Linked DNA regions of Mus musculus. The protein of the gene in region 1 purifies or fractionates together with the protein of each later gene. This does not show direct contact. Links are inferred from orthologs where the notes say so. Each region holds a gene or a part of one and is shown in the gene's direction. Other genes may lie near its edges.

Region 1 (3,659 bases):
CTTCTAGAAGCTTCTGCACACTGGTTGTGAAGCTCTGTCCTCCAGGCTGAGGTTGTGAAGAGCCCAGCAGAGCAACTGTTTAACCAAGGCTTATGATTTATTGACCCAAGGAGTGAGGGTTAATTTAATTGTAGTGTAGGAGCAACCTTTTGGCCCAGCTCAGCTGAAGGAAGTGATGTAGCCTTGTGCCATTCCTTCCCTTCTGTTGGGGCTGCTTCAATACCCAGTTGGTGCTGGGGCCCAGGAGTACTGACGGTCAAGAGTGTCTGTGAAGACAGAGAACCAGTGCGTTTTGTCAGCTGGGTAGAACTGGCCTGGTCTCATCATTTTGCACCTTTCTCAGACTTCTGTGGAAAAGGCAACCTTTTATTTGGCTGTGAGAAATAAAAGTTGAAGTCATGTTTGAAGCCTTGCATTGCAATTGCTGCTTGTAGGGCCTAAGGCTGCTGTGGCTTTCCTCATGTGTAAAACTACTCACAGTACCTGTTAAGTTTCCTGCTTCTCTTGGAAGTCATCAATGGAATTTTTTGCAGTAGGAATCACTACACACACATGGACCTTACTGTATTTCCAGCCTCTTAAGTCGTATTTTACATCTGATTTCCTATATATATTTGCCACCTCTTTAAACCTCTGATGTCAGGACTGGAGTAGAGCTGTAGACTGTCTCACTTGAAGCAGATTAGGGAGTTGAGGCACAGTTGGGTGAGACACTGATAACACCAATCTTCTAGCAAGTTCCAGTGATATTCTCAATTAAGAGTCTGGCTGTTCTGCTTCAGGGTTAGTTTACTCCTGTTCTGTTCGTGTTCTATACTCTCTGTCTTAGGTCCAAGCCCAGGTGATCCAAGAGACCATAGTACCGAAGGAGCCCCCTCCTGAGTTTGAGTTCATCGCTGATCCCCCCTCCATCTCAGCCTTCGACCTGGATGTAGTGAAGCTGACAGCTCAGTTTGTGGCCAGGAATGGGCGTCAGTTTCTGACCCAGCTGATGCAGAAAGAGCAGCGCAACTACCAGTTTGACTTTCTCCGACCCCAGCACAGCCTCTTCAACTACTTCACAAAGCTGGTGGAGCAGTATACCAAGGTGCTGGGTTTGGGTCCGGGGTAGTATAGTATCTCACCACTGGGTATGCAGCATCCACTCTGTCAACAAGGATATTTGCTTTGTGTGACATATGAATCCCAGCTTAATGTAAAGTTTTGGTTTAAAATGCTTTTATATATTTGCGAATGTGTGAGAGAGAAAGTGCGAGTGTGTAGGTGCTTTTGTGCCCTGCCATGGAGGTTGCTTGGCATCAGAAAACAGCTTTCAGTTCTCTCAAGCTTCCATAGCAAGTGCTTTTACCCTATGAACCATCTCGTTGGCTCTAAATCTTTTTGTTTTGTTTTGTTTTGTTTTGTTTGAGACAGGGTTTTCTTTGTGTAACAGCTCTGGCTGTCTTGGACTAGTTTTGTAGTCTAAGATGGCCTCAAGCTCAGAGAACCACCCGACTCTGCCTCCTGAGTGCTGGGATTAAAAGTGTACCTTAAATCTTTATTTCCCCCCCCTCTCTCCCTCCCTCCATCTCTCTCTCTCTCTCTCTCTCTCTCTGTCTCTCTCTCTCTCTCTCTTGACAGTGTCTTACTGTGTAACCCCAACCCTGACTGACCTTTGAACTCACTCTGTAAACCAGTCTGGCCTCAAATTCAGAAATCCTTTTGTCTATAGGATCAAAGACATGGGTCCCCACATCCAGCTTATATTGTTCTCTTTAAATACCTCTTGGTATTGAAGAGACGTGTTTATAAACTGCTGTTATTAGGTGGTCATTTGCTGTGTGACAAGACTAGGTAGCACTATCTGCTTTTAGGTGTCTGCATTGCCACTTGTCTGCTCCATGGCCTGAGAAGCAAGCTCTTAACTGTTACCTACTTTAATTCTCACAGAACTTTTAAAGTGGTGTTCTTCAACTTTCACAAGCAGAAACCAGCTAAGAGCCATGGTTTCATGGGGCTCGGGTTCTTCTCAGTGGTAGAGTTGCTTCTCTAGCATAAGGTGCTGGGTTCAGCACTGTTCTTAAGGAAAAAAGACCAAAAAGGGATGAAGTGTGAAATCATTCATGATTGCTTGGCCTCAGGCTTGTAAGCGATGTTGCTGAGATTCAAGCCTTGGCTGTCTTTATCCTATGGAGTAACTTACATGAGAAAAAGTTCAGTATGAATCAACTAACATTGAAGACACATGTGCAACATCTTCCCAAGGGCCCTGATAATGTGTACAGCAGCCACTGTTCTCAGTTATCCTGCCTGGAGTCACACAGATGCTGCAGAGCTGGGACTGGAGAGCTGGCACTTTTCTTTACTCTCAACCCTAGGTCGCACTGCTGCAGTCAGGAATCAACATGGCAAGCCAGGCATGGTGGTGCACACCTTTAGTCCTAGCACTCTTTGTTGTTGTTTGTTTGTTTGTCAAATGACTGGGTCTCCTCCTATAGTGTGGTTTCATTCTGTAGACCAGGCTGGCCTTAAACTCAGGGAGATCTGTCTGCCTGCCTCTACCTCCTGATTGCTGAAATCCCAGCACTCATGAGGGAGGATCACTGAGTTCAAGGCTAGTTCGTGCTGCATAGTAAGTTCTAGGATATCCTTGCCTACAGACTGAAATTGTCTTTAAAAAAAGAATCTGATACAGTAATCTAACATTTAAAATTTGTCAGAGAGCTGGATACAGTAGCTAACACTTGTAATTTAAGTTCTATGAAGATTGAGGAGTACTAGGAGTTCGAGGCCAGCCTGAGCTCTTTGAGAAACTTTCTCTTTTAACAATAAAATGTTTGATATGTTACAAAGGCTTCTCATCTGTTGTGGGTTTACCAGTGGCATGTTTTTCTTGTTTTTCTTTTTAGTGGAATGGCCTACATCTGTTACTAATATTTAGAAGCAGTGCTAGAGATTTAAGTTGAAAGGACTTATAAGTACTGTCTCTGAAGAATAAAGTTTGAAGTATTTTAAAATGTGTTTTTGCCAGGCATGGTGGCGCACGCCTTTAATCCCAGCACTCGGGAGGCAGAGGCAGGCGAATTTCTGAGTTCGAGGCCAGCCTGGTCTACAGAGTGAGTTCCAGGACAGCCAGGGTTACACAGAGAAACCCTATCTTGAACAAAAAACAAACAAACAAAAATGTGTTTTTAGAAAATGACCAAATCTAGGATCTGGTAGAGCAGTAAAGCAATGACCGAAACCTAAAGCCACAGGATTCTAAAGTACACAGTCTCGGGGTTGTGGATTTTTAAATGTTGTTGTATCTATTTGTATTTTTTGTGTATGAGTTGTTCTGCACCACTTGTGTGTGGGGCCGTGGAATTGAAAAAGACTATCAGATCTCCTGGGACTGTAGTTATAGATGTTTGTGAGCCACCATGTGGGTGCTGAGAATCAAACACAGACCTCTGAAAAACAGGCCCTGCTCTAGCTGCTGCTGTCTCTCTAACCCATATCAGTTCTAAGTATGGCCTAGGTTCAATTTGAGCTGCTTCCATAGTAGAAGTTCTCATCTCTATTTTGTTACTTTTTTGTTTCTTCCTCTGACTTCGGCTATTGGCATTGACTCATAACTGACTGGCACTGGAGAAAGCTGTTCTACCAGATAGATTCTAGGGGTAGGGATCCAAAGAGGG
Region 2 (4,278 bases), on another chromosome or scaffold:
TCTCTGTATAGCTCTGGCTGTCCTGGAACTCACTCTGTAGACCAGGCTGGCCTCGAACTCAGAAATCCCCCTGCCTCTGCCTCCCGAGTGCTGGGATTAAAGGCGTGTGCCACCACGCCTGGCACTTTCAGAATTATTTGAACACTTTCTTGTAAATCAGATTATAATGTTGGTGTGTTCACTTGTGTAAGGTCCACCTCCACAGTTTTATGATGGCTATTCCTGGTTTTCAACTCGACTACATCTGGAATGAACTACAATCCAGAAATGGAGGGCACACAGGATCTTGAGGCTGGAAGACACAGGCTGCTGACCCAGATCTTGACATGGAGATCATGAGACAGCCCAGGCAAGGTAGTGCACAACTTTAATCCCAGGACACTGAGGCAAGCAGTTCTCTGAGTTCAAGGCCAGCCTGGGACAAAGCAAGTTCCGGATCCAGGTGTGGAACTTGAGGACATAAAGACATTGGGAGAAAGAAGATTGACTCACTCCTCGTCACCTTCTTGCACTTACTTGACAGCATCTCTGTTGGAACCGATTTCTTCAGATTGTAGCTTAGACAGAAGACCAGATGAAACAACCTACTTCGTGGGACAGAGCAACTACTAGATTCTTGGGTTTCCCATTCACAGCTGCCCATTGTCAGGTTAGTTGGACTGCAGAGTGTAAATCATTGCAATAAATTCATTTAATATATATAGACAGTCTATAGGTCCTCTGACTATAGAGAACCCTGACTGATACATTTTTCAGCTTGAATTCACCACCACCACCACCCTTTGCGGGGGGGGGGGGGGGTTGTTGTTATTGTTGCTGTTTTTCAAAATAGGGTTTCTGTGTAGTCCTGGCTGTCCTGGAACTCACTATATAGACCAGGCAGGCTTTGAACTCAGAAATCTCTGTCTCTGCCTCTCAAGGGCTGAGATTAAAGGCATGGGTCACAACTGTCCAGCTATAGCTTGAAATAATTTTTACATGCAACCAAAAATATGGGGAAAACATATTTACACAAAGCCCTGGTTTCTCTGACCTTTCTTTTGCCATTTGCTGCATTTTTATTCCAAGCGAGCAAGGTTTATAGTGTTTACATTCTTTCTCTGAAGACCTAGCTCAGTGTGTGTTTTTAATGCTATTAGATTCTGCAACATCTCGCCTGCAAATTTATTTCCACCATTTAGTATATAAGGGAATAGTTGGGAGTGAATACCTGGAGCCTAGTAGGGGATTCGGCTCCTACTCCAAGGTCAGAAGGCACATGAATCTCGAAACCTTGTGCCAATGGCGCCATCTCTTGGCCGGCAGAGAGGAGATGCAATGTAGTCCTCCCGTCAGCAGGGTGCAGTGCGAGCCGGAGAGTGCAGCTTTGCTTCCGCGAGTCACACGCAGGCGCAGACGTGGACTCCCGGCAGCCTCCGCTCTCTTACCCCGCGCGGTGCATCCCTTTGCGGACTCCGTGGAGGCTCGGCGCTGCGGCGGACTCCGGCGGTGGGCGGGCTTCCGCGCAGGGCGGCCGGGCTCCGCGCTGCCGCCGCCGTGGCCCATGGGCACAATCGTCTCGGAAGGCCGGGTGAGTGGCGCCGCGGCGGCCCTGGCAGGCGGTCTGATCCGGAACGTAGACTCGGGTGTGCGCGCCTTCACGGATGCGCTGGACGCGAGGCCGCGGCTCTAGGCCGCGCCGTGAGGGGCGCGGGGATGCGGGCGGGGCACCCCGAGCTGCCCGGGGGGTTCCCAGCCCTCCACGTTGGGCTCCTTCAGCCTGCCACGTTCCACCGGGCCACCTAGATCCCCCCTTCACCAGTCCCGATCCTCTTGACAGTGAAGAAAGTACCTTTCTCCTCTTCATGGCCCATGCCCAGACCAAGTTGTTGGGTCGCAAGACCGCAGTAACCCAGACTGCGTCGGGCCTCAGGAATGGAGAAGCCAAAACACAAACCCCAAAACTTGTTTCCTTCCAGAGCACCTGAAGTGAAGGTTGAGGCCGTTGTCTCACCGGGACAGAGAGTGTCTGTTGTAACCCCCGGCATGCTCAGGCCTGCGCTAAGGGGAGTTTTAGCGTTCATGTCCCTCCGCTAGCTTTCGAGCTTCTTCTGCTTGGACCAGTTGTGCTCTGAATGAGTGCTGCAAGCTCAGTAAGGTGCTTCTCCAGGGGTTAGATCTCTAAGAAGCTCGTTGGAAAACCCAGGCCTGGATTGATCCGAAGAACCAGATTACAAGCTGGAAAGACCTGGAAGAGGAGTTTTATTACAAGTGGAAAGGCTGCACCTATGAGGAAGAGGGAAAGCAAGAGCAGAGAAGCGCTGTAGAGTATTCTGCAGTTTAAGGCTGTGACAGAGGATGAAGAGGGACTTAGAAGGGTGATCAGTCAGACCTTCCTTTGAGAAGTCAGGAAGGGGGGACCATTGACATAAGTTCTTGTTATAATTCTGCTTGTTCTGGGAATAGGTGAGGCCTGTCTCTCTGCAACAGGTGGCTCTTTTAAATCATGGGGACACATTTATACTGGGCTGAGCTGTAAACATTTCGAGATAACAAATTTTAGTAAATATGAGTAATGGAGCCCAGGGTGGCAATATGTCTGGAATTCCAGTGCTTGGAAGGTGCAGGCAGGAGATTAAGAGTTCCGAGGACAAGCCACACGTGGAAATCACATGTGTGATTTCCTACAGGCGTCATTTTTCTCCTACCATATGGGTTCTTGTTGACCCCCTGATTTGTTATTATGTACCTCCTCCCCCCCACCACCTGTCCCCCGCATAAATTTTTCACACATCTTTCCAACAGGGAAGAGTTCCCTCTAGTAGGTCATTCTACAAGTCTTTCAGAACAGTAGAGAAATCTGCTGCGCTGTTTGCTTTAGTTACTCTGGTTAGTTTGTTTTTAACAGTCCCTGGCCAATGGTATCTTGGTAATACGGATGGGAAATGTGAACTATCAGAGATGGCATAGCTACACACGGAAGGGTATAAATGATTCGGTAAAACATCATTAAGTCCTGAGTATAAGATATGATTGTGGTGTGGATCAAGCTAACAGAGGTAGACTTTTAGACTTGTGATGGTTACTCTTGGTTAGCTACATCTGGAATCTACTAAAACCCAATGGCTGGCCACACCTGTGAGGGATTTTTATTTATTTATGGACAGGGTTTCACCTGTGAGGGATTTTATTTATTTATGGACAGGGTTTCTTTTTGTAACAGCCCTGGCCCTCCTGGGACTCATCGATGGTTCTGAGCCACCATTACAGGTGGTTGTTGGAAACTGAACTCAGGACCTCTGGAAGAGCAACCAGTACTCCTACCCACTGAGCCATCTCTTTGGCACCTGGAACTTTATAGTTAATAATGCCCCACATAGAGAGCTTCCGTCTTACTCCATTATCAGTTCTATAACTGAAGGATTTGACTCATAAGTCAGTTCACCATAGTCTTTTAGATTGAGAATTAATTCTAGGCTGGACATAGTGGCATATCCCAGCACTCAAGAGGTGTAGGAAAGAGTCACAAGTTCAAAGCCAACCTCGTCTTTGTGATAAGTTCAAGGCCAGCCTGAGCTACATGAGAGCCCTGAGGACTTTTGTTTGTTTGTTTTTTCTTTTTTAGTTTTTTGAGAGGGTTTCTCTGTATAGTTCTGACTGTCCTGGAACTCACTTTGTAGACCAGGCTGGCCTCAGAAATCCGCCTGCCTCTGCCTCCCAAGTGCTGGGTTTAAAGGCGCGTGCCACCACGCCAGGCTGAGGACTGTTTTTAAACTAGTGCCTAAGTATAGTTTTGCAGATTAGAAAGAACCCTGCATTTGTGACAGGAGGGTCCATGGTGCAGCTGTTTTAACACAGAGACATTCATAACTTGCTTCTGCTTTGCATCTTTTAATCTCTGTCCCTGCTTGTCTTTCAGCATTAAACCAAAAAGATGTCCCTATATGATGACCTGGGAGTGGAGACCAGTGACTCAAAAACTGAAGGCTGGTCCAAAAACTTCAAGCTCCTGCAGTCCCAGCTCCAGGTGAAGAAGGCGGCGCTCACTCAGGCCAAGGTAAGAACAGGCCCAGGGCAGGAGAGGGCAAGTCCGCTGAGTTCCTTTAAGCTTGCTCTTTGCCCCCTTGCTGGATACGTAGAAAAGAGTGGGTGGGCGAGGGGTGGAGAGCTGATTGCCTCTCCTGGCTCTTGGAAACAGCAGGACCATTCATGGAGTGGGAATTAAAAAAAGCCATGAGACTGGCTTTAGACTGGAGCATGCCTGAGACTGACTGCAAACTGTTTACAGATGCTGTTTTC
Region 3 (4,239 bases), on another chromosome or scaffold:
AATTATCTCACATCTATGTCGTCAGATAAAACATCTGTAACATTAGTAAACAGCCTTGACATCTGCTGCAAAGGTGAGAAAGCACTCTTATCGTGACTATTTATTATGGTGGGGCCCAGAATAGTCCTTCTTGTGTCTATGACCCCGAGTCTCCTCAAAGGGTAGTAGTGGATATAGCTTCTGCAAACTCCATGCCCGGCAACCACGGATAAATGAGGCGACGAGTCTCTGCTACTGGTGGGAAGTGAAGGCTTCAAGCACCCGGCTTTAGAGGAACCCACAACCACCGCGCCCCCCAATCACCTTGTCATCACCTTGAGGAACAGAAAACCACCCTGGGGGAGCATGGATTCCACCCTCAGAAAAAAAGGAGTGCCTCCACCCTGGACCAGGCTGCCGCTGCTTAAACCCAAGCTTGCCGGCGGGCGGGGATGGGAACTGCGAACAGCCTGTGCCAGGGACGCCTTGACCTAGGACAACGCAGGAACCCACAAGGGCGCTGGGCCTGCAACCGCGACAGGTGCACGGAACGTCAGCCGCGAATCGAGCCCGCCTCGCCTGGCCTCGCCTACAGCCGCGGGCAAGGCAGGAGGCTCCCCGCCCCCGTAAACCCACGTCTCTGGGCTCGCTTACCTGCAGCCGGGTGACCAGGAGGCTGTAAGGCGCCATTTTGTGCACTGACAAAGATGAGGTCGCATGAAAGTGACGTGACAAATGGCGCCCTTAAAAAAGCATCGAAGGGGGCGGGGCTTACAGAGAGACGAGTCAACCGCGAGGGTGGGGCCTCCTCCCGCAGCCAAGAGTGCAGATAGCACAGTGGGCGGGGCTTACATGACGGAAACCCGGCGTGGAAAGCAAAGATGCGGGGAAACTGCCAACTCGGCGTTCGGCGCAACCTTGTCACCTTTGCCCTTGGGTGTGGAAGCTGGAGGGGAGGCAGGAGTTCAAGGTCATCCAGGAAAGAGAATATCCCCAAATCAACATACTTGGCGGAAGCATGCAAGAAGCCCTGGCGTCAATCCCCAACACAGAATGCAACATATGTAGAATTTTTACCCAAGAACAAACTTCAGTTTATGAGTTCAAATCTGGAAGTAAAGAGAATTTTATTCAAAAACCTTTGGTGCACCTGCAAGGACCTAGCGAGGAAACTCTCGCGAGATCTAGCCGGTTTTGGTGCCCCCCCCCACCCCCCGAGGCTAAAGGCTGACGGACAGCTTAATGGCCAATCACGGAGGAACGGAAGTAAGCACGCCGTAGGTTAAAGGTCGGGCGGAAGTTCCCTAAGCTTCCGGCCGCCGGCTTGGAAAAAGAGTTATGGCTAAACATCATCCAGATTTGATTTTCTGCCGCAAGCAGGCTGGTGTGGGTGAGTTGGGGACGTGCTCCCTTTTGGTTGAGTGGGATGGGATTAGAAAGTGGGGGACTAGGGACTTCAGCCTCCTCTTTAGGGCTCTGGTTTGCCGTGTCCACGTTTCGCGCCTTACGGTGCCTGGGTATTCTAGCAGCGCTCACCGGCTTGTGGCATCTTAGAAGAGGGCAGCAGCGCGCATCCGGGAGTCTAAGGCTGGCGGGATCCTCTGTGCCAGGTCTGGAGAAGCCGGTCTAGAATACTTTGAATTTTGGGGGGTTCCAGACATTTTTTTTATTTTTGACATGGCCTTTGGTGTAAAGCAAAATTTAGGGTCGTGGGCCGGGAACTCTTGTCTGTAATCCCAGCACCTGGGAGGCAGAAGGCTGGAAGATTGCTGCGAGTTCGAGCCTGGCTAGAGCTTAAAAGCTAACTCAAGCTACACAGTGGGATTCTATCACAAAAAAGTAGGGGGTGGGGGACAGTGGAGAGGGAGGAAAGGAGAATGTGACCACGATCCTGTACGGTTGACTGTAATCATTGCTACCTTCGCCATCCTCTATACTCAGTTTGACGAAAAACTTTGCTTGCTACCTCACAACCTTAATTTTAACGATGTTTTACTATCTTTGACCTTGCAGCTATCGGAAGACTGTGTGAAAAATGTAAGCCGAACACGCCCTCTCAGGCCTTGACACCTTTACTCTTTGAAGAGTCGTCAATTCCAGTGGAACAGCAAAGAAGTCTTTTTTTGGGGGGGGGGGTGTTTTAAGACAGGGTTTCTCTGTATAGCCCTGGCTGTCCAGGAACTCACTCTGTAGACCAGGCTGGAACTCAGAAATCCGCCTGTCTCTTCTTCCCAAGTGCTGGGACTAAAGACGTATGCCAACACTGCCTGGCTAGTAAAGAAGTCTTAAATAGATAAACCAGCCTGCAGAGGATACTAAATACCTGGCTGCCACCAAAGACTGCCCCACCATCCTCCCACTTAAGCATGCAATTTTTAATACTTCATATTTAGGTTTTGAAAAAAAATGTCTACTTTTGGACAGTAAGATTTGTCAAGAGTAGTGGGGACCTTCCCAGCCCAATGACATTTGTCAATTTGTTGACAGTAACTACATAGACTTAAAAGCTCCCAGACACTAATACAAACTCTTTCCATGAACTACTAAACTGAGACGGGTACAGGATAAGGCTTATGCTGTCAAGGTAGAAGAAGGTCCTAAGGTCACTGTCAGAAGGAGACTAGTGATTTCCCGCATAGGGCAGAGGAGAGATCTTAGGGGAGTAATCGCTATTGGCTATAACTCAGTTCTCCTCTCTCTACAGGTGACGGCAAGTGTGTGATCTGTGATTCCTACGTGCGTCCCTGCACCCTGGTCCGCATATGTGATGAGTGTAACTATGGATCTTACCAGGGCCGGTGTGTAATCTGTGGCGGCCCCGGAGTCTCCGATGCCTACTACTGTAAAGAGTGCACCATTCAGGAGAAGGATGTGAGTGTAGGCTGAGCTTCCTACCCGCTCTTCTCTTCCTTTTACTTTGAACCATTTTGCCATCCATGGCCACCTCTTCTGATCTGGGCTGTGGAGATTGCAGTGTTCAGCTAGTTATCTAGGTAATTTCTTCAAGCCTGTGAGCCAAACTGGGTGTGGTCTAATAAAGAGCAGTTACTCTGTATCAGGGCAGAATGGAAGAGAAGCAAGTCTTCATTGGTATCAGCAGTTAGGAGAACTTCTCCATGTACCTTGCTGTCTCCTGCGAATGGGTGTGTGGACAACCTGCTGAAGGCAGTTCTCCCTGTAGACTCTGGTCCTGGCGGTTGAGTGCAAATGTTAGGCTTGTCAAGTGTGTTTACCTGCTGTCTTAGTTAGGTTTCTTCTCAATGATACAACAAGATTAAAAGCAGCTTTAAAGAAAGAAAAGGTTTTCTTCCACACCTCCAGGTAACAGTTTGTCGATGCGGGAGCCACGGAGGATCGATCACTGCTCTTTCCCCTCCAGTTTGCTCAGCCTGCTTTCTTACTGCCTCCAGTTCCACCAGCCCATGAGTAGTGCTACCCACACTGGGCTGGGCTCTCCCATGTCTGCCATTAATCAAGAAAGTGCACCACTGGTCGAACTAGTGGGCCTTTCTCAATTGAGCTTTCATCTTTTAAAATGACCCTAGTTTGTGTCAGGCTGACATAAAGTTAGCCAGGGCAGCTCATTTTTATTCCTTTTTTTGTTTGTTTTGTTTTGTTTTGTTTTGTTGTTGTTTTGGTTTTGGTTTTTTTGAGACAGAGTTTCTCTGTGTAGACCAGGCTGGCCTCGAACTCAGAAATCCGCCTGCCTCTGCCTCCCGAGTGCTGGGATTAAAGGCGTTCATTTTTATTCTTAGCCACATGTAAGATCCTCTGTTTGTGTGCTAATGAGTACGTCGGTGCTGTGTAGAAGACACTCAGTGGCTCTGCCTGTATCTGTCTTCCTCTTTTTCTCACAGACATAGGTGCCAGTGTGTCTCAAAATGGCCTGGAACCAAAGGTCCTCCTGCTTCAGCTTCCTGAGTGCAGAGGTTACAGATTTGTACCCACATAGTGGTTCTCTGGGCAGGGATGTAGGATGTGGCAGCTACTGAGGTAGCCTTGCTATGTTGGCCCTGGCTGGTCTAGTGCTCATTATGTAGTCCAGGGTAGCCTGAAACTCAAAGCAGTCCTCCTGCCTCAGCCAGCCTCTTAGATAATAGGATTACTTGCCCAACTTGGTTCTCTTAAATCCACTGTGATTAAAGACAGTTTAGGTAGATCTGGTGGTCACATGAGTTAGGGATAGTTATAGTTGATACCAGCTTTAAGTAAGAAGAATGGTATCATGTTGCAAATTGGTTGCTGGTCTTATGTTTTTGT
Region 4 (4,159 bases), on another chromosome or scaffold:
AGGGAAGGAGTGAGGGAGGGAGAAAGACAGAGAGAGTCACTATATAGTTCTGGCTGTCCTGGAACTCACTACGTAAAACAAACTGACTCTGAACTCATAGAAATCTGCTTGGCTCTGCCCTCAGGAGTGCTGGGATTAAAGGTACTCACTACCATATCTAGCCTAACAGGTTGTCAATGTACATTTAGACAGTTGTGTTGGATATTGTGAAAGTTACAATATCATCTGTTGTGTTTCTGTTGTATTTAATCTTAGAGATTATCCTTCTGAGAATTTTCGAGGGACTAGAGCCAAGGAGCAGCAAAGGAGAGTCTTGACATGAAGTGATACCCTGTATTTGGGCTGATCCTTAGACCTCTTTCGCCCACACTTCTGGAAATGAATGTAATTGAGTATGCACAATGGCTGAAGGGAGAAAGATACACAACCTCTTAAGTGTCACCTTGCCTCAACAACTTGCCATTACAGTGGAGTCTTAATGGATGAGCTATTTGTTGATTTCCTTCAGTCCAGGTAACCATGTCTATAAAATGTCTTTCAGGGTTCACTCTACTAAGGAGCACAGCAACTAGGCATGCTGGGGCACGCCTTTAGTCCCAGCACTGGGAGGCAGAGACAGCCTAACCTCTGAATTCCAGGCTAGCCTCTTCTACAGAGCTTGTTTGTGGACAGCCAGAGCCACACAGAGAAACCCTGTCTCAAAAAACCAAACCAAACCAAACCAAACGAGGACAGAGATAGGGCTAATGTCTCTGAGTGCCTAATATGCACTCATATACACACAAACGGAGCAAGATTAGGGCAGAGGATTGGAGGCAAAATACAGTGCCCAGTGCGATTACCTCCAATTTTCTGAACCCTATACAAAACACCTATACCTTGAACAAATAGATGTTATCTGTTCTGGGGTGAATGGACAAAACGAGTCACAGTAATTAAAGTTAACATTTTTTCTCACCGCTACAGGGCATCTGGCGCAACAACTGCAAATTCTCGTTCTGGAGTTATAAATTGTGTCCTGCTTTGCCACTTGCCAGCTGTGTGATCTTGTTTTTCTTATCCTTCCTGAGCTTCATACCCTAAAAGCAAAAAGTATATACACAGCTGGATAGATTTCCTAAACAGGACTAGGCTTTTTCAACTTTCCCAACGAACTCCAGGCGGCAAGTGACAGCTTGAGGCGCGTTTCGGTCCTTAGCAGCAGCTCAGATCAGCTCTCAGAGAGACGCGAGGGGAAAGGGAGGAGCCCGCGGGAACTCAGAGCCATTTCAGCCAATCGCACAGCGGGCGGGACGGGAGTTCCCGCCTCCGGACGGCGTGCGCGCGCACCACGCCGGCACGCCCGCCGCGGAGGCGCGCACGCAGGCCCTGCCCTCGTCGCGGCCGCCATTTTAGCTCCTGGTTCGGGCCGCACGGAGCGGGCTGTGGTGGCGGGAGGGGTGGGGGTCCCCGCGAGTTGAGCCGCGGGCCTCTTGTGCGTGGATCCGGCTGCCGGAGTCTCTCTTCTTCCCTCCTTCCTAAGCGTCCGCTTCTGGGAGTGCGAGGATGTCCAAGAGGCATCGGTTGGACCTGGGGGAGGATTACCCCTCCGGCAAGAAGCGTGCGGGGACCGATGGGTAAGCCAGGCCGGGGCGCGCAGTCGCGGCTCGGGCTTTGTTGGATGGTGGCGGGGAGCAGGCCCGGCTGCCGAGCCTTTGTCTGCCGTCGGCCGGCTGGGGCGCGTGCCGAGTGTGTGCGGCCGGGGCGAGCGGCCTGTGGCGGCCACGAGGCCGCGGAACGGCGGGCGTGCGGAGCGGGCCGCGAGGCCTCGGTGCTCGCGTGAGGCCCGCAGCCGGAACCGGATGGCCAAGGGCACTGCCCCCGTGGGCGGCGGCGGGCGCTGTCTGTTTTGGGGGAGGATAGAGGCGAGCCGACCTCGGGGCGCACTGTTTGGCGGGAGACGAAGGGCCTTCTTCCATTGAGGCACTTCAGGAGAGGCCGTTGCCAACTTCCGCCCTCTGCCTGCCCTCCCGCCATCTCCTTTATTTCCTGCTTTGCTTAAAAGCCGGCTTTGCTTTTAAGTAGCATCACTGGGGTAGGCCTGTGAAAACACGTATTTCCCCCTCCGCTCTGGAAGTTATTTCTATCTCCTCCCCACTTTGGACGCACTTTTCAAAAAAGTGATCTTAAGCGTGTTTGAACAAACAACACCCACGTGCAGATTGAGAAAGGCTTACACCGATTCCTGGTCTGGCATTTTAGTTCCTTTTCTTAGACTTTTCGCAAAGACAGGGCATTTAGCAAGTAAGCAGTTGTATTATCATTTTCCAGTCTTTTCTTTCACAGTTCATACTTAAAATGTACTTTTGTTTATATTCCTACCCTCCCATTTTAATTAGTTGTATGTTTATGCTTCGGCAGTACAGGGATCTGTTGGGTTAATTAAAAAATATATCCACGGAAGTCCAAATGTCCAAAACAGTTGTAGGATTTTATCATTTTCTTATGTCTTGTGACACCGACTCGCTGTCAAGTCAGATGTGTGGTCTCTTGAGTTTTTGTTAACGGAAAGTCCTTTGGGATTGATTTCTAACTACCAGTGTGAGAATAGGTCAGGATAGGATGCGTTCTGTCGCTCTCCTTAGGTTGAAATATTGAATACGGAAAGCAGGTTTGTTATGTTTTGATTGTGTAGGTTTTTTTTTTTAAAGCTTATAACACTAAGCATTGTAATAATAAAACATCCCAAGACAGCTGTTCTCTCAAGCAAACATTCCAAATGTTAGTAATTGAGCTCCATCAGTTCTTAGGTAGAAACAGCTCATGAATATTCTCCAAGGGAGAGCAAAGTTGCAGTGAGCTTTTTCCATAGATTATAGTGGTATGTAGAATTCTCCTTTTCTCAACAGGAAACTTAGTACTGTAGTTAGGCATCACAACCTGTCATAAATGGCATTTATATTGGATTGATAAAGTGGGGAACTTCTGTGAAGTTAAAGTTAATGTCACATTTGGCTAAGATGCAACTAATTTCTCTCCTTATAGAGGTCACATTGGGATGAACACTGAGTTTGTGCAAGCAGAGTTTTTTTGTGTGTATGTTCACGACTCAATGCTTTTATTGCAATTGGGGCTCCACATTACAGTGATTATGGTCATTTCTCTTGCAAAACATACAACATTGGCAAAATGGACTTTGCGTATATCGCGGGTAGCTTCATGTTTCCTCTGAATATTTCATATTTGTCACTAAGTACAGGAGAGTCCTTGATTTCTAGAGATTCTGCAAGGCAGTTTTTGCAGTTTCCTAAGTTTTTTGAGTACCTTTTCTTATAGAACTGGTTTTCTTTAGCAATACAGTATTTGTGCTTGGTATTTTTTTTTTTTTCCTTACTTGATTTGAAGGCACTTTTGACTGCCAGGGACTCTTTGCTTCCCTCCCTCCCCCTCTTTGCTCTTGTTTAGTGTATTTGACAGCATAGGCTTGTTCATTTTGTCACCCCAGCTGTCACCAGACCTTGCTGTCTCCATTCCAGCACGTGTGGGTGGGGGTGGGGGTGGAGGGGCGGCCAGGAGAAGAAACCACGGAGTCAGTTACCTCCTCTTGACCATGATGGCCTCAGGGGTCAACCCAGTTTTTCAGTCTGAGCCATCTCACCAGCTCCCAAGAAATCTGGGAAGGACATTTTTATCCTAATGGTTCTTAATATTCCTGATAAGAATTTGTAATTATGTGTTTCACTACAATCCCGTGGTAGCTGAAATTAAATAATAAGATGATAAGATGCAAAGGGCAAGAAATTTTCACACATAAATGTATAAAGAAAAAAGCAGTAAGCTACTACAAATCATTATTTCCATCTTTGGAGTCCATACTTATTCCTAAATACAAAATGTAATATCAGTGAGCTCTTGGGATTTGGGTCCCATTGGCTGTGTAGTACAGTAGTTGTCTCTTGTCTTGCTCATTGGTGTTAAGTGCTTTCCTCGAATTTTCTGTAGATGAAAGTATGAGTATCCTTATGTATGCACGTTAATGCACATGCTTAGAAGTTCCCAAAGTGAGACTGTCAGAAAAAAAGTAGTTTATATAAAATATCTAGAGTAGATGACTAGTTTCCATACTTACTAGCAGTATATTAGTGCCTATTATTATTCCAAGTACAATTTAAACTGAAAC
Region 5 (4,425 bases), on another chromosome or scaffold:
GAGTGAAATCTTCTGGGAAGTGTGTTCTGAGAGCCCAAAGAAAATGTGTTCCAGAGATAGTCAAGGTTGTACCTCATGCTGCAGCTGGACTTGGTAATGTATAAGAATCACCCAGGTGATGCTAGTTTTGAAGGCACAAAGGGATTACGAACAGCAGCTGAGGCTTGGCACTGTGAGAGGCCAGGGATGGTCACTGGTGAAGGTGTAGCCTCAGTTGGAGTTGATGGCCCAGGGCTGAAGGGGTCACCACTACATAAACTCACTCCAATAATCCTAGCACATGAAGATGGAGGCAGGAGAGTGAGCTGTTCAAGTTCCTTCTCAGGTCAGTCATTCCATGACTCAGCAGGTAAGAGAGTGTGTACAGCTCTTTCAGAGGACCAGAGTTCAGATCCCAGCAACCACGTGTAACCCCGACTTCAGAGTATCTGGCACCTCTGGCCTTTGTGGGTATCTGCACTCATGTGCCCAAAACCACAGAGATATAACAAATAATTTCTAAAAGTATTTTTAAGAGTGTTTTCTGCTCATGCTGAGGACCAGGGGTTGACTTCTAGCACACATGTCCAAAGGATCACAACGGCCAGCTCCAGGGAATTTTAGGCTGAAGCCTCCCCTGCACCTATACACAGGTGGGCATGTACATTAATTAGTAAGCTATGATTTAAAAAAAATACGCATATGATTTCGTGCATTTAAGGCTTGGCACTGTGAGAGGCCAGGGATGGTCACTAGTGAAGGTGCAGCCTCAGTTGGAGTTGATGGCCTAGGGCTGAAGGGGTCATCACGTATACACAGGTGGGCATGTACATTAATTAGTAAGCTATGATTTAAAAAAATATGCACATGATTTTGTGCATTTAAGCCTTTGGAGACAGAGGCCAAGGCTCTGCAGGTATATTGTATTCACTGTGGGGCACTCATCACATGGCAATTTCTGATATGTGTATTCCCCTGCACTTCGTATGAATTTTTTTGGTGTTGTTTGTTTGCTTGAGATAGAGTTTCTCTGTGTATCCCTGGTTGTTCTGGAACTGGCTCTGTAGGCGAGGATGGCCTCTATCTCCGAGATCCACCTCCTTCTGTCTCCAAACTGCTAGGATTAAAGGCATTCTCCATCACAGCTAGTCAATATGAATATCACTTATGGTTTATTTTATTTGTGTGTGTGTGTGTGTGTTTGCGGTTGCCGGTGTCTGAGGAGGCTAGAAATGGACGGCAAATCCCCTGAGGCTGAAGTTACAAGCAGTTGTCAGGTGTCCAGACGGATATTGGAATGCCAACTCAAGTCCGTTACAAAAGTTGCAAGTGCTCTTAACCTCTAAGCCACCTGACCAGCGCTTTGGTATGAACACCTAAATGTCTACAGGCTACAAGTTCACCCTCAAGCTTTAAGGTGACTGTACCAGGTCAGAAGGGTTCTGTTTTAAGGCAATCCAGCCTACGGGTCCTGCCCCTTACCTGCGGAAGCCCAAGTTAGACATTTAGGAACTTGACTTTCAGGAGACTTCACAGTCTCCGCCCCTTGTTGGGTGGAGAAGGGAGAGTAGTCCCAACTACCCCTCCCTTGAGGTTCACTGACGTGAGACAGAGCATCCCTCGCGTGTTCTTATCTTTTGGATTAAAAAAACTGGAATCTGGGCTCCCCACACTCCCAGGCACGCTCAAGCCCAGAACCCAGAAGCAAAGACACGGGGGCTACGTCTTCGATTGCTTTAGCCTGGCGGTCGAGCTGCGCGGGGATACGATTGGTGCTGTCTGGCGGCGAGGCGCGGTGCACTGTGGGACACGGCACTGGCGGGAGGCGCAGGCTGGTGTCGGAGGTGAGGGTCCGCGGGCTGCGACAGGATGGTGAAGCTGACGGCGGAGCTGATCGAGCAGGCGGCGCAGTACACAAATGCCGTACGGGACCGTGAACTGGACCTCCGGGGTGAGTTAGACGGAGCGCGGGCTGTGTTCCGGCCCCGGCGCGTGGCTGCGGGAAACCAGCCCCGCCGCGTGCGCAGAGGCTGGAGCCTGGCCCGTGGGCCTCCACCCGGGCTGGGCGCCTCCGATCCACCGTCCCGCAGGGCCCTTTGGGGCTGTTTGTTACCGGCGTTCCGGCTAGCAAACACGGCGCCTCGATTCCTTCCCCGGACCGTACTCACTAGGCATTGCCCCGCTCATCGAGCAGCTTTAACTGTTGGAGGACTAGGAAAATAGAAAACGCTACGGACAGGCCGGCTGCTGGCTGGTGTTTTTTGTTTGTTTGTTTGTTTGTTTGTTTGTTTGTTTTTTAGCAAAAGCGTTAATGTGGCACCTGAGGGTAGGGTGGATATGTACCAGAGTTACCTTAATTGCCCCAATAATTCCGGTTTGGTTTTGTTCATTTGTTTTTGAGACAACGTCTCGTGTATTCCGAGCTGACTTCAAACCGTTATATAGTTAAGGTTTATCTCGAACTTCGGACCCTCTTGCCTCCACTTCCTGGGAGCTGGGTTTAAATGCCTGCACCACGTTTATATGGTGCTTTGGATGAGCCCAGGGTTTCATGTCTGTCAGGAAAGCACTCGCGCTACTGAGCCAGACCCGCAGCCCCGGATAATTTGGTGTTTTCAAGATTGAGCTGTTTGACCGTGGCATAATGGTCACTTCTGTGTGTGGGGTGGCGGAACTCACCTGTTCAGTTCTGACAGAAGTAGCACTTGATTTTTAAAACATAGAACTGAGAGGTAATCGTTAACTATTCAGGAGATGGCTTTGGAAGGGGTTAAGATTATAAGACTGTGACCAGAGGCAATCAAAGTCTCGGGGGCGCTGTGCACTGCCATTTTTGAAAGTTTCTTCCTGCCTATGGGAAATCCTAGTGTTCTTTGTGTTTGTTGAATGAAATTAACTTTCTTGGAGAAAAGTCCGGTTCAGGAGCATCTGGGTCCTTTCACTGTCTTGGCACAGTTTTGATGTCTGCTGTCTCTCTGAAAACCGTGCAGTCTGGAGAATGCTTATTCTGCTACCATATCTTTTATTGCACTCCTTCACAGCTGGGTTGTGTCCTTCCTTATAGTACCTAGCTCAGTGACGAATGTGAATACCTCATAGACGTTCTTAATAAACCATGGGCACCAATACTAGTAAATATGCCCATCTGTTCTTCCTCTTGCCTTCAGCCTCTTCAGTTTTACTTCAAGCTTTGTAGCACTAAGGCCTCCACTTAACCCTTTCGTCATTTACCTTATTTTTGTTCAGTGCACGGCATGGTGCTAGTGCCTGGTTAATACTTCCCGAATGGGAGCGCTGAGTCAAATTCCATCACATACTCCTGCGATTTTCAGGACTTTTCATTTATATTAATATTTGTTGTATGTATGTTTTCCCTCTACAGGATATAAAATTCCGGTTATTGAGAATCTGGGTGCCACCTTAGACCAGTTTGATGCTATTGATTTTTCTGACAATGAGATCCGGAAACTGGACGGTTTCCCTTTGTTGAGAAGACTGAAAACATTATTAGTGAACAACAACAGAATTTGGTGAGTGACTGCTAGTGAGAATACTTTCTTCCCTTAAGTAAGTGTTCTAATGTACCCTGAAGATAATGGGGTTTTGGTTGTTGTTTTGTTTTGTTTTAATGTATATTAGTTTTTTGCTTGCAGGTACCACACACCCTCCTAGTGCCTCTGGAGGCCAGAGGAGGGCCTTGGCTTCTCTGGAGCTAGGTTTACAGATAGTCCTGAGCTGCTCCAGCTGTAGGAATAGAATCTGGGTCCTCTGGAAGATCAGCCAGGGCTCTAAGTTGCTGAGCCACCACTCCAGCCTGCCCATGTGTCTTAAAGGGAGAAATGAATAGAGCCCTTTTCCTAAGAGGTTGGAGATTAACTTGGGCATTGGCCTGACCTTACTTGCTACTCTTCAGAAATCTTTAATATTCGTAACTGACATTAAACTTTGAATTTGAAGCATTGTGCTATGTCAACAAATCAGATTTTAGAGTAGTCATCAATAGCATCATAATTAAAAAGATTTATAAAGGCCATGTGTAGTGGTATCTGCCTTTAATCCTAACACTCTGGAGTCTGAGGCAGGCTGATCTCTGAGTTCAAGGACAGCCTTGTTGACAGCAAATTCCAGCCAGGGCTACATAGTGAGACCCTGTCACAGTAAAAATCTTTTTATGAAATAAAGTTACTTTTCACTGAGTACCTATACCTCATCCACTATGCTGGTTTTGGTTTTTGTAGTTGGTTTCTACAATATAATTCTGTGAAATTAAGATCATATTTGTTTGTATGAGTGGGGTTTCTCTGTGAGCCCTGGCTGTCCTGGAACTCACTCTGTAGACCAGGCTGGCCTCAAACTCAGAGATCTGCCTCCCTTTGCCTTCTGAGTGCTAGGATCAAAGGCGTGCACTACCACCACCCTGATGGCAAAGCTTTCATTAAGAAAAGG
Region 6 (4,259 bases), on another chromosome or scaffold:
CAGGGCGGTAGTGGCACACGCCTTTAATCCCAGCACTTGGGAGGCAGAGGCAGGCAGATTTCTGAGTTCGAGGCCAGCCTGGTCTATAGAGTGAGTTCCAGGACAGCCAGGACTACACAGAGAAACCCTGTCTTGAAAAAACCAAAATAAATAAATAAATAAATATCAATAAAATCTGGTGGTAGGCGATGAGGTATAAATAAGCCAGGTACCAGAGATAGAAACCGTAGTAACAGGAAGCCAACGATCAGAAAGTAACGGTTGCTATGCATGAAAGTACAGTATAATACGGTTCTGTGCCCTCCAGCCCAAATGAATTTATTTCCATTCTCAGGTCCTGTCACACATCTCCAATTCTGAGCCTCTTCTCTAGGTCTGACCCTTATCTGTAACTGAAATCTAGGTGATGGCACACACGTTTTCTCCCAGCACTTGGGAGACAGATCTCCGAGTTTGAGGTCAGCCTGGTCTACAGCACAGGGACAGCCAGGGGTGGAATGCCGACAAACTGGAAAAACCCAAATCAAACCAAACTTACTCATTCCCCGCTTCCCTTCAATTAACAAAAAGCTTAGACATGGTGGCCCAAGACTAATTCCCAGGACCTGAGGCGGGAAAATCAGCAGTTCAAGGCTATCTTCTGCTACACAACTTTTGCGACTATGCTTCAAAGAAATAGGTGCGGGTAGCCAGAAGTCTCAGAGGGAAAAAGGCACTTGCTGAGCAAACCTGCCAACCTCATTTCGATCCCCAAATCCCACCAACTCCTTCAAACTGTCCTTTAACCTCCCCACAGTTGCTAGGGCGTGCCTGTACTGCACAGTAACAATAAACATGCTCGTTTTAGAACAGCGTCTATATTACGATCCATCCCTCCCCAACTCCATGCCCAGTCTATGCAGGTACCATGCTCCGACGTCCTAAACAGTTTTTATCCTATTTCCCTGTTTTTTCTCAACTCTGAAGTCACTGCTCACCATTTTTTAACGTGAGCAGATTGCAAATTTGCCTTGCCACCAAGGCCTGTGCCCCCTGGGGGATCGTGCGGCAAAGTGTCTCGACGAACTGCCTCATCAGCTGAGGTGAGACGCTCGGCTCACGTGGCTACTGCAGTTGCTTTAAAAGAGCAGCTTCCTTCCCCCCTCAGGAAGTAGAACCCGCTCGCATCTAACGCCGGTTGGCTCTGGGAGGAAAATGACTGAATTATCAGTTGGCCTTGAAAGTCGGGTCAAGGAGAGTCCCTAAATTCCGCAGGCGCGTGACGTGACTGGGCGCCGCAATTCACCGGAAGGCGAGCGGGGTGGGCGGGGCGCGTAAAAGCGCCTCGACGCGGAAGTCACGCGGCCCCGGCGCCGCGGAGGTCTCCGTCTCGGCGTTCGGCTATTCGGCCTGGCAGCCTTTCTGGCGCGCTCGGCTGCTATCTGTTCTCTCGGTGCTCGACTCACCCGCGCTGCTGCCTCCGCTGAAGGAGGAGCAAAGCTCAAGATGGCCGACAAAACGCCAGGCGGATCTCAGAAGGCCAGTTCAAAGGTAGTTTCTTAGAGATCTCCGTCAGTCAGGGGGGTCTCTCACCGTGGTCGAGGGCCTACAGAAGCCTCTGGCCTTCGAGGGTTTCCTGGGGCGAGGGGCTGAGGCCTGTTGGCCACAGTGGGCCTGGCACCGCTGCACCAAGGTGCGCAGGTTGAGAGGCCCGAGCGCGCGTCCGTCCCGACTGGGATTCAGCCCCACACCAGCGTGCCTGGTGGCGAGCGGGGCTGGTCACCTCGTTCGGCTTTGTGGGTCAGAGCAGTGGTTCCGAGGTGGTCCGGCGTCCTTGTATCACCCCTTGCTGCTCTCGGAGGCTGCGGGCTAGAGGCTGGGAGAGGCGGGAAGGTTCCCGGTCTTAGATGCCTGTTTCTTCCCCCCTCGTCCTCCCTTCTTTACTTTGGCTCTTACTCGTTCCTGGCCTTACACGGTTTCTCTCCTTGCCGTCCAGGAAATTAGGCTGGACGGGTTGCAAGGGTGTGCGAGAGACCCGCCAGTGGAGGGCCTGGGGTTGGGACGTGCGGAGGGAGCCGCTCTCTGAGCCTCAGGGTTAGAGCCACACTTCCCATGTGATTTTCCTCCCACTTCCCGGGAAGTGAAAAGTGAACAACATCCCTCTTGAGGGCCGCAGACTCAGGGTCTCAAGCAGTATGTGGGGTTTCCATTGGAAAGGGAAACTACGGTAGACGTGGAAATTGCCCAAATGCCCTTACATGTGAGTTTATAGGGAGCCCTGTGCATTGCTTGGGAAACCGTTGAACTGTAATTAAGCGTTAGTAAGGTTGGGTTAACAATTGGTGTTAGTTGCCATTTTGGCCAGCGTGTTTAATCCCATTTATTTACTTATCTATTTTGGATTATTTTGCTTGGAGATTCTCGTCCCCATCTCGGTATTAAAGATGCCTAAGTACTGCCATAAACCAGTGGCGAGGCTTGAGATGCAGAGATAAGGAGTTGGATAACATTTAAAGAGTCTCGGAACGTAAAGTGTATGATTATCTGTTTGCATTTGCTGTTTGGTTTGAGAAACAAACCAAACTTGCTCTCTTTCTAATAAGGCTGACGTTTATTTATTTGTTAATTTTTAAATTTTTGCCATTTTGCTGAATGATTGCCCCAGATTTACTTAGCAAGTAGTAAAGGTCTTACTAGACATTCTTCAGAACTATGGGAGGGCCCAGTTCTGGTTGTCCTTACACCAGACCTTTACTGTAAGTCAGCTTCCTTTTTCTCCAGTAGTTTTTCCCCTCCTTCCCTTTCTGGGGGAGCAGGTGAATGAAGGGGTACCTCATGATGCCACTCCTCCTTTCAGACCCGTGACCAGGACAGGTACCCACATCCATAGTTACAATTTGTTTTGATATTCTTCTCAAAGCATTTAGTATTTCCTGCATGAGGCCTGGGTAGATTGAAAGCTTTTCAAAGTATGTGTTCAGACTTTTTTCTAAGAGAATACTTCTCAGGACTCTGTGTAGTTTTTAAGTATTAAGTAGCTTGTTGGATTTTTTTTTTTTCATTCACACTTGTCAGTTTATAGTCCTTTAGATGTCACCAAAGGGTTCCTTACTCGTGTCTGAAAAGGGAATATTTATACTCAAGAGTTTTGCCAGGATTTTTCCATGTAATGGAAAGTGTTGTAATGGAATGGCGAGGTTATAGGTTTTGAAAACAAATACGATACCTAATCTCTTCAGCCTCAGGTTTTCTTATCTTATTACAGGAAAAAAATTCTTTTATAGGGCTGATAGAAAGATGGAGTTACTGTAAATGTTAGTAAATCTTACTTCAGTTTCTAAGTCTATATAGATCATCCACCCATCCTGCGTACTAGGTTTTTGAGCTGGGTCTCCCGTAGCCCAGGCTGGCTTGAACTTTAACCTTCAGCATCCTGCTGCTCCTTCCTTGTATTTCCCAGAGTTGGGATTACAGGCATGTGCCAACCGCTTCCAGCTCCCTTTTTTTTAAGGAACTAGAAAGCACTGATTTGGATTATTAAGTGTTGGCCATCATAATGACCACTCAAATTGTTGTTGTTTTTTTTTAATTTCAAATGTAAGTCTAGACATTATTAGATTATAAGATCATTTTGGCCTTAGTACAATATTTGGAATTTCCAGGCTTGTATTCTGTGCTGTATATCAAGTAAGTAGAGACTTCTGTTTCATGCTCTTGCTATGGTAGTTACATTTCCATCAATTTGGGTAGAGGTGTTTATTAGTCATTTCTACACATTGAAAGAATATTTGTACAAGATATAGGGTTTTTACCATTGACCATGATGAAGTCTCTATCTTTTACAAAAGTGTGCATGTCTGTGTGCACACATGTGCACCCTCATGCCGCAGTGTAGATGTGACAGAGGACAACGCTAGGTTCTAAGGATCAAATTCAGGCCTTCAGGCTGTGTGGCCTATGTCTGCATTCTCTGAGTCATGCTCATGGCCCCATTAGTGTTTCTTAATTACAAAATACATAAACCACTAGTTATTTTTAGCTTTAAAATTAACTTCATGATGTACACAGTGTATGTAGTTCTTGCTAAGGGGACTTGATGGGGGGGCACCCTTCCAAAGTCCCTTTTATTTTATGTAATTGTTCTATACTTTTCATTTTTAATATCTCCTGGTAGACACTGAGCACATATTTTAGAAATAAAATTTCCTAAGCAAAGTATTTCATGGCTTCAGGAGGGGGTTTGGAGCCATATTGTAGCTTTGTTTCAGAGCAGTAAGACA
Region 7 (3,659 bases), on another chromosome or scaffold:
AATGACTCTCTTGGGCTTATTTACAGAGCCTGGGTGGCAGGTGATGACCCCTATTGCTTCCCTGCTGCCCCTGTGCCCTAGATATGAAGTGTAAGGAAGCTATGGAGCCTGTGCCTCAGACCCCTCACTCCATTATTTTCAGATGCCACGCCTGTGGTTAGACTACTGCCAGTTTCTCATGGACCAGGGAAGGGTAACACATACCCGCCGCACCTTTGACCGTGCCCTCAGGGCACTGCCCATCACACAACACTCTCGCATCTGGCCCCTGTATCTACGTTTCCTGCGCTCCCACCCACTGCCTGAGACTGCTGTGCGAGGCTACCGTCGCTTCCTCAAGGTGAGCACCATTGAAGTGACCAGTTCCTAGGTAGGCTTCCAAACATGGCTCACTGGGATAGGGACCTTCCCAATATGCAATAAATAGGCTGCAGGAAGAGGCTCCGATGAATAGGTACAGTTTATTCATGGTTTCTTTCTTTGTGAGTGTGTGTTGTGTATTTATGTGTGTGTGTGTACACCCATGTATGTGGAGGCCCAACGTTGACACTGATGTCTTCCTCGATCAATCTTTACTTTATTGAGGCAAGATCTTTTAGTGAACCCAGACTAGATTTAGCCAGTTCTAGCTAGCCCCACAGATCCCCTTTCCAGTGCTGTCATAGTTACCCAATGTTTATGTGGGCTCTACAGATCCAAACTCCAGTCCCCACACTTGCAAGGCAAATGCTTTATACCCTGAGCTAACTCCCTTTATACCCTGAGCTAAGCACTGTAACTTATTATCTTTAGTTTTCAAGTCTTTAGCTTTTAGCTTATGCCCACTTCCCAGTGGGCACAGAGATGAGAGCCAGGAGCACCATACATGGGGCTCTCACCACCACTTGCCCAGGACTTTCAGTCTAACAGGGTAAACACATGCATGACCCAGCTATGTGAAGTAGAATAAAACCAGAGCCACAGTAAGAGGTGGGAGTAAGATATCTGGATGGTGGGCTGCATTGCAAGCAGAGCGTTGTAGCTCATGCTTGTGATATTGGTATTGTAATTTCTTTTTTTTTTTTAATTTTTTTTTTTTTTTAAAGATTTATTTATTTATTATATGTAAGTACACTGTAGCTGTCCAGAAGAGGGAGTCAGATCTTGTTACAGATGGTTGTGAGCCACCATGTGGTTGCTGGGATTTGAACTCCGGACCTTCGGGAGAACAGTAGGGTGCTCTTACCCACTGAGCCATCTCACCAGCCCGGTATTGTAATTTCTTAGCATGGTACTGCTTGGATGACAGTTTGTGACAGAAGCAGATCCTTCCCTGACTACCAGTGTCTTAAGTTGGTCTGCCTAGAATTAGCATTGGACAGTATTGGGGTTGTGGCAGGGAGGTGTCAAGGCTAAGGGAGGTGCCAAGGGTGGACACTCAGGACCAAGACTGAAGGTCCAGACAAGATTACTGTCTTAGTTTCTCTTCCTCTTGCTGTAAGAAACACCCTGAAGCAATCGGCTTTTTTGGCTCACAGTTTAGGGGTGCAGTCCTTCATAGAAGGCGATGGGAGTTTGAAACAGCTATGAATCCATGATCAGAAAACAGCTATGCACACATGCTTCTTATACAGCACCATACAGGATCCCTGCCCAGGAAATGATCCCTTTCATAATCAACACGAGTCTTCTCATCCAGATAGTCTCTCACACATATACCCTAAGGCTTGTCTCAGAAGTGATTCTAGAGTCTGTCAAGTTGACAGTTAGCACTAACCACCATAAGTACTGTAGCCGTGTTAGGCCTGTGGTATCAAGACTGACCCAAAGGAGCCAAGACCAAACCAGTAAGGCCTAATGCTGGAGTATTGACTTCAGGCTGGACCACCATAGCACTGAGGCCGGGTTAGTGGGGCTGACTGTTTGCTAAAACTGGTGGTGGTGGGAGTGACGATAGCCACTTAGTCAGAAGAGAGATATCATCTCCTGCATCCCCAGTCACCTTCAGTGGGGTGGGTATTCATTCTCCAGCTGAGTCCTGAGAGCGCTGAGGAATACATCGAGTATCTCAAATCCAGTGACCGGCTAGACGAGGCTGCACAGCGCCTGGCCACCGTGGTGAATGATGAGCGCTTTGTATCCAAGGCTGGTAAATCCAACTACCAGGTGGGTTCCCTGGAATGTGGAGACTGGGTGAGAGGTGTCTTCCCTCATGGACCGAGACTGAGATGTTCCCCCAACACCCTGTGTCCTGCAGCTGTGGCACGAGCTGTGTGACCTTATCTCCCAGAATCCGGACAAGGTACAGTCTCTCAATGTGGATGCCATAATCCGTGGTGGGCTCACCCGTTTCACTGACCAGCTGGGCAAGCTGTGGTGCTCTTTGGCAGACTACTATATCCGCAGTGGCCACTTCGAAAAGGTATGTGGGTGCCTAGACCTCTGCTGTTAGGTGGGTCTCTGAAGGACACACAGTGCATGGGCAGGACACAAGTACAGATATGCTGTGTGAGACATATCACATACATGCACACATTTGCCATCCCAGTGGTGGTGATGGGAACAGGAGTCCTGTAGACAGGTGAACCTTCGGGACAGCCTGACTCAGTGTCTGGTCCTCTCACATCCTAGCTGTGTAGCCTGGGAACTTGTAAGCTTGTGTGGAGGAGTGCAGCCACTTGTGTACCCTTAACCAAAAACCTAGCTTCTCTACTCAGGAAAGTTGTCCTTTCCGACTTAGTGATGTAGTGTGCAGCTTTGGGAGAGATGTACATGGGGCAGTGAGGAGGGGAAGGGGACACCTGCCTGTCCAGTCTGATCAGCTGAATCAGCTCTAGCATTAGTGGGGTGACAGATGTCTCAACCAGACTGCCCTCACAGATGTCCCCAATATTCCTATTTGCAAAATGGGGGTGTGGCCACGCTTTACCTGTAAGGAACTGGTGCATCGACAAAGGCCGAGTACTCACCTAGTGCCCTCAGATAGTTTCCACTGTCTGTCCTTCCATCTTGCTTTCTAGAAACATGCTGGGATCAGGGTTTGGATGGGACTCTGAGAACCTCCATAGGACTAAACTGGGGGTACTGTGGTCTAAGGAAACTGGGTAGGAGGCCATTGTGAGTAGCTTAGGGGGTTGCGATTTGCACTGTTGGGCTGGGCAAGGTAGGGGGCTGCAGCAAGAGAATTGCAAAGCTCATAAGCCCCTTTCCCGAGTGCCTGCATGAAAACATGGGATAGGGAGACAGGGCTGTGCTTTCTAGGGATGGAAAGAGTCTAGAGAACACAAGGTTGTGAAGGGGTCAGGCAGCCATTGGAGGAGAGTGGGAGCCTCCAGAGACAGGCTGTGTTATATGACTTTTCCTGACGAGACATGAACAAATGTCTCTTCACCACAGATAGGTGATTTATTTCATTTTCCAAGTGTGTGCACATAGCAAACCAGTGAACTTACTGGGCTTCCTTACATGAACATGGGTGAGGGTGACTCAGAAGTAGCTGCATCAATGAAGACCCAGCACAGTTGGGAGAACATTCACAAAAGCTGCGTCCTTAGACCTTCCTTCTGACTTGGAGACAGGCTGGGCCTTGGGGGTTGCTTGGAGAGTCTCCCCTAGCAGTTGTTACTGTTTGCATAACTTGGGGTGGGGGGAGGTCTTGTGACTCTTACACGTCTCATTTA

Evidence for each region.
Region 2: the proteins of Sf3a1 (region 1) and Rbm17 purify together in Homo sapiens (affinity purification with mass spectrometry; 4 studies listed by BioGRID and IntAct, counting the BioPlex papers as one, with this or other methods). This does not show direct contact. The link is inferred for Mus musculus from reciprocal best matches to the Homo sapiens genes SF3A1 and RBM17.
Region 3: the proteins of Sf3a1 (region 1) and Phf5a purify together in Homo sapiens (affinity purification with mass spectrometry; 3 studies listed by BioGRID and IntAct, with this or other methods). This does not show direct contact. The link is inferred for Mus musculus from reciprocal best matches to the Homo sapiens genes SF3A1 and PHF5A.
Region 4: the proteins of Sf3a1 (region 1) and Dhx15 purify together in Homo sapiens (co-immunoprecipitation; 5 studies listed by BioGRID and IntAct, with this or other methods). This does not show direct contact. The link is inferred for Mus musculus from reciprocal best matches to the Homo sapiens genes SF3A1 and DHX15.
Region 5: the proteins of Sf3a1 (region 1) and Snrpa1 purify together in Homo sapiens (affinity purification with mass spectrometry; 6 studies listed by BioGRID and IntAct, counting the BioPlex papers as one, with this or other methods). This does not show direct contact. The link is inferred for Mus musculus from reciprocal best matches to the Homo sapiens genes SF3A1 and SNRPA1.
Region 6: the proteins of Sf3a1 (region 1) and U2surp purify together in Homo sapiens (affinity purification with mass spectrometry; 4 studies listed by BioGRID and IntAct, with this or other methods). This does not show direct contact. The link is inferred for Mus musculus from reciprocal best matches to the Homo sapiens genes SF3A1 and U2SURP.
Region 7: the proteins of Sf3a1 (region 1) and Xab2 fractionate together in Homo sapiens (co-fractionation; 3 studies listed by BioGRID and IntAct, with this or other methods). This does not show direct contact. The link is inferred for Mus musculus from reciprocal best matches to the Homo sapiens genes SF3A1 and XAB2.

Annotation. Positions count from the first base shown.
Region 1 is NC_000077.6:4,166,804-4,170,462, forward strand, and holds part of Sf3a1 (splicing factor 3A subunit 1), read left to right. Parts: intron 1-829; coding exon 830-1,087; intron 1,088-3,659. UniProt on the Homo sapiens protein: Component of the 17S U2 SnRNP complex of the spliceosome, a large ribonucleoprotein complex that removes introns from transcribed pre-mRNAs.
Region 2 is NC_000068.7:11,600,377-11,604,654, reverse strand, and holds the start of Rbm17 (splicing factor 45), read left to right. Parts: upstream 1-1,455; 5' UTR 1,456-1,570; intron 1,571-3,898; 5' UTR 3,899-3,913; coding exon 3,914-4,036; intron 4,037-4,278. UniProt on the Homo sapiens protein: Splice factor that binds to the single-stranded 3'AG at the exon/intron border and promotes its utilization in the second catalytic step. Involved in the regulation of alternative splicing and the utilization of cryptic splice sites.
Region 3 is NC_000081.6:81,868,943-81,873,181, reverse strand, and holds the start of Phf5a (PHD finger-like domain-containing protein 5A), read left to right. Parts: upstream 1-1,289; 5' UTR 1,290-1,317; coding exon 1,318-1,369; intron 1,370-1,992; coding exon 1,993-2,016; intron 2,017-2,683; coding exon 2,684-2,850; intron 2,851-4,239. Other genes in the region: Aco2 (aconitate hydratase, mitochondrial precursor), read right to left, coding at 634-669.
Region 4 is NC_000071.6:52,187,737-52,191,895, reverse strand, and holds the start of Dhx15 (pre-mRNA-splicing factor ATP-dependent RNA helicase DHX15), read left to right. Parts: upstream 1-1,349; 5' UTR 1,350-1,545; coding exon 1,546-1,616; intron 1,617-4,159.
Region 5 is NC_000073.6:66,058,763-66,063,187, forward strand, and holds the start of Snrpa1 (U2 small nuclear ribonucleoprotein A'), read left to right. Parts: upstream 1-1,573; 5' UTR 1,574-1,848; coding exon 1,849-1,930; intron 1,931-3,361; coding exon 3,362-3,509; intron 3,510-4,425. UniProt on the Homo sapiens protein: Involved in pre-mRNA splicing as component of the spliceosome. Associated with sn-RNP U2, where it contributes to the binding of stem loop IV of U2 snRNA.
Region 6 is NC_000075.6:95,509,088-95,513,346, reverse strand, and holds the start of U2surp (U2 snRNP-associated SURP motif-containing protein), read left to right. Parts: upstream 1-1,350; 5' UTR 1,351-1,485; coding exon 1,486-1,530; intron 1,531-4,259.
Region 7 is NC_000074.6:3,614,736-3,618,394, reverse strand, and holds part of Xab2 (pre-mRNA-splicing factor SYF1), read left to right. Parts: intron 1-142; coding exon 143-340; intron 341-2,010; coding exon 2,011-2,145; intron 2,146-2,236; coding exon 2,237-2,401; intron 2,402-3,659. UniProt on the Homo sapiens protein: Involved in pre-mRNA splicing as component of the spliceosome. Involved in transcription-coupled repair (TCR), transcription and pre-mRNA splicing.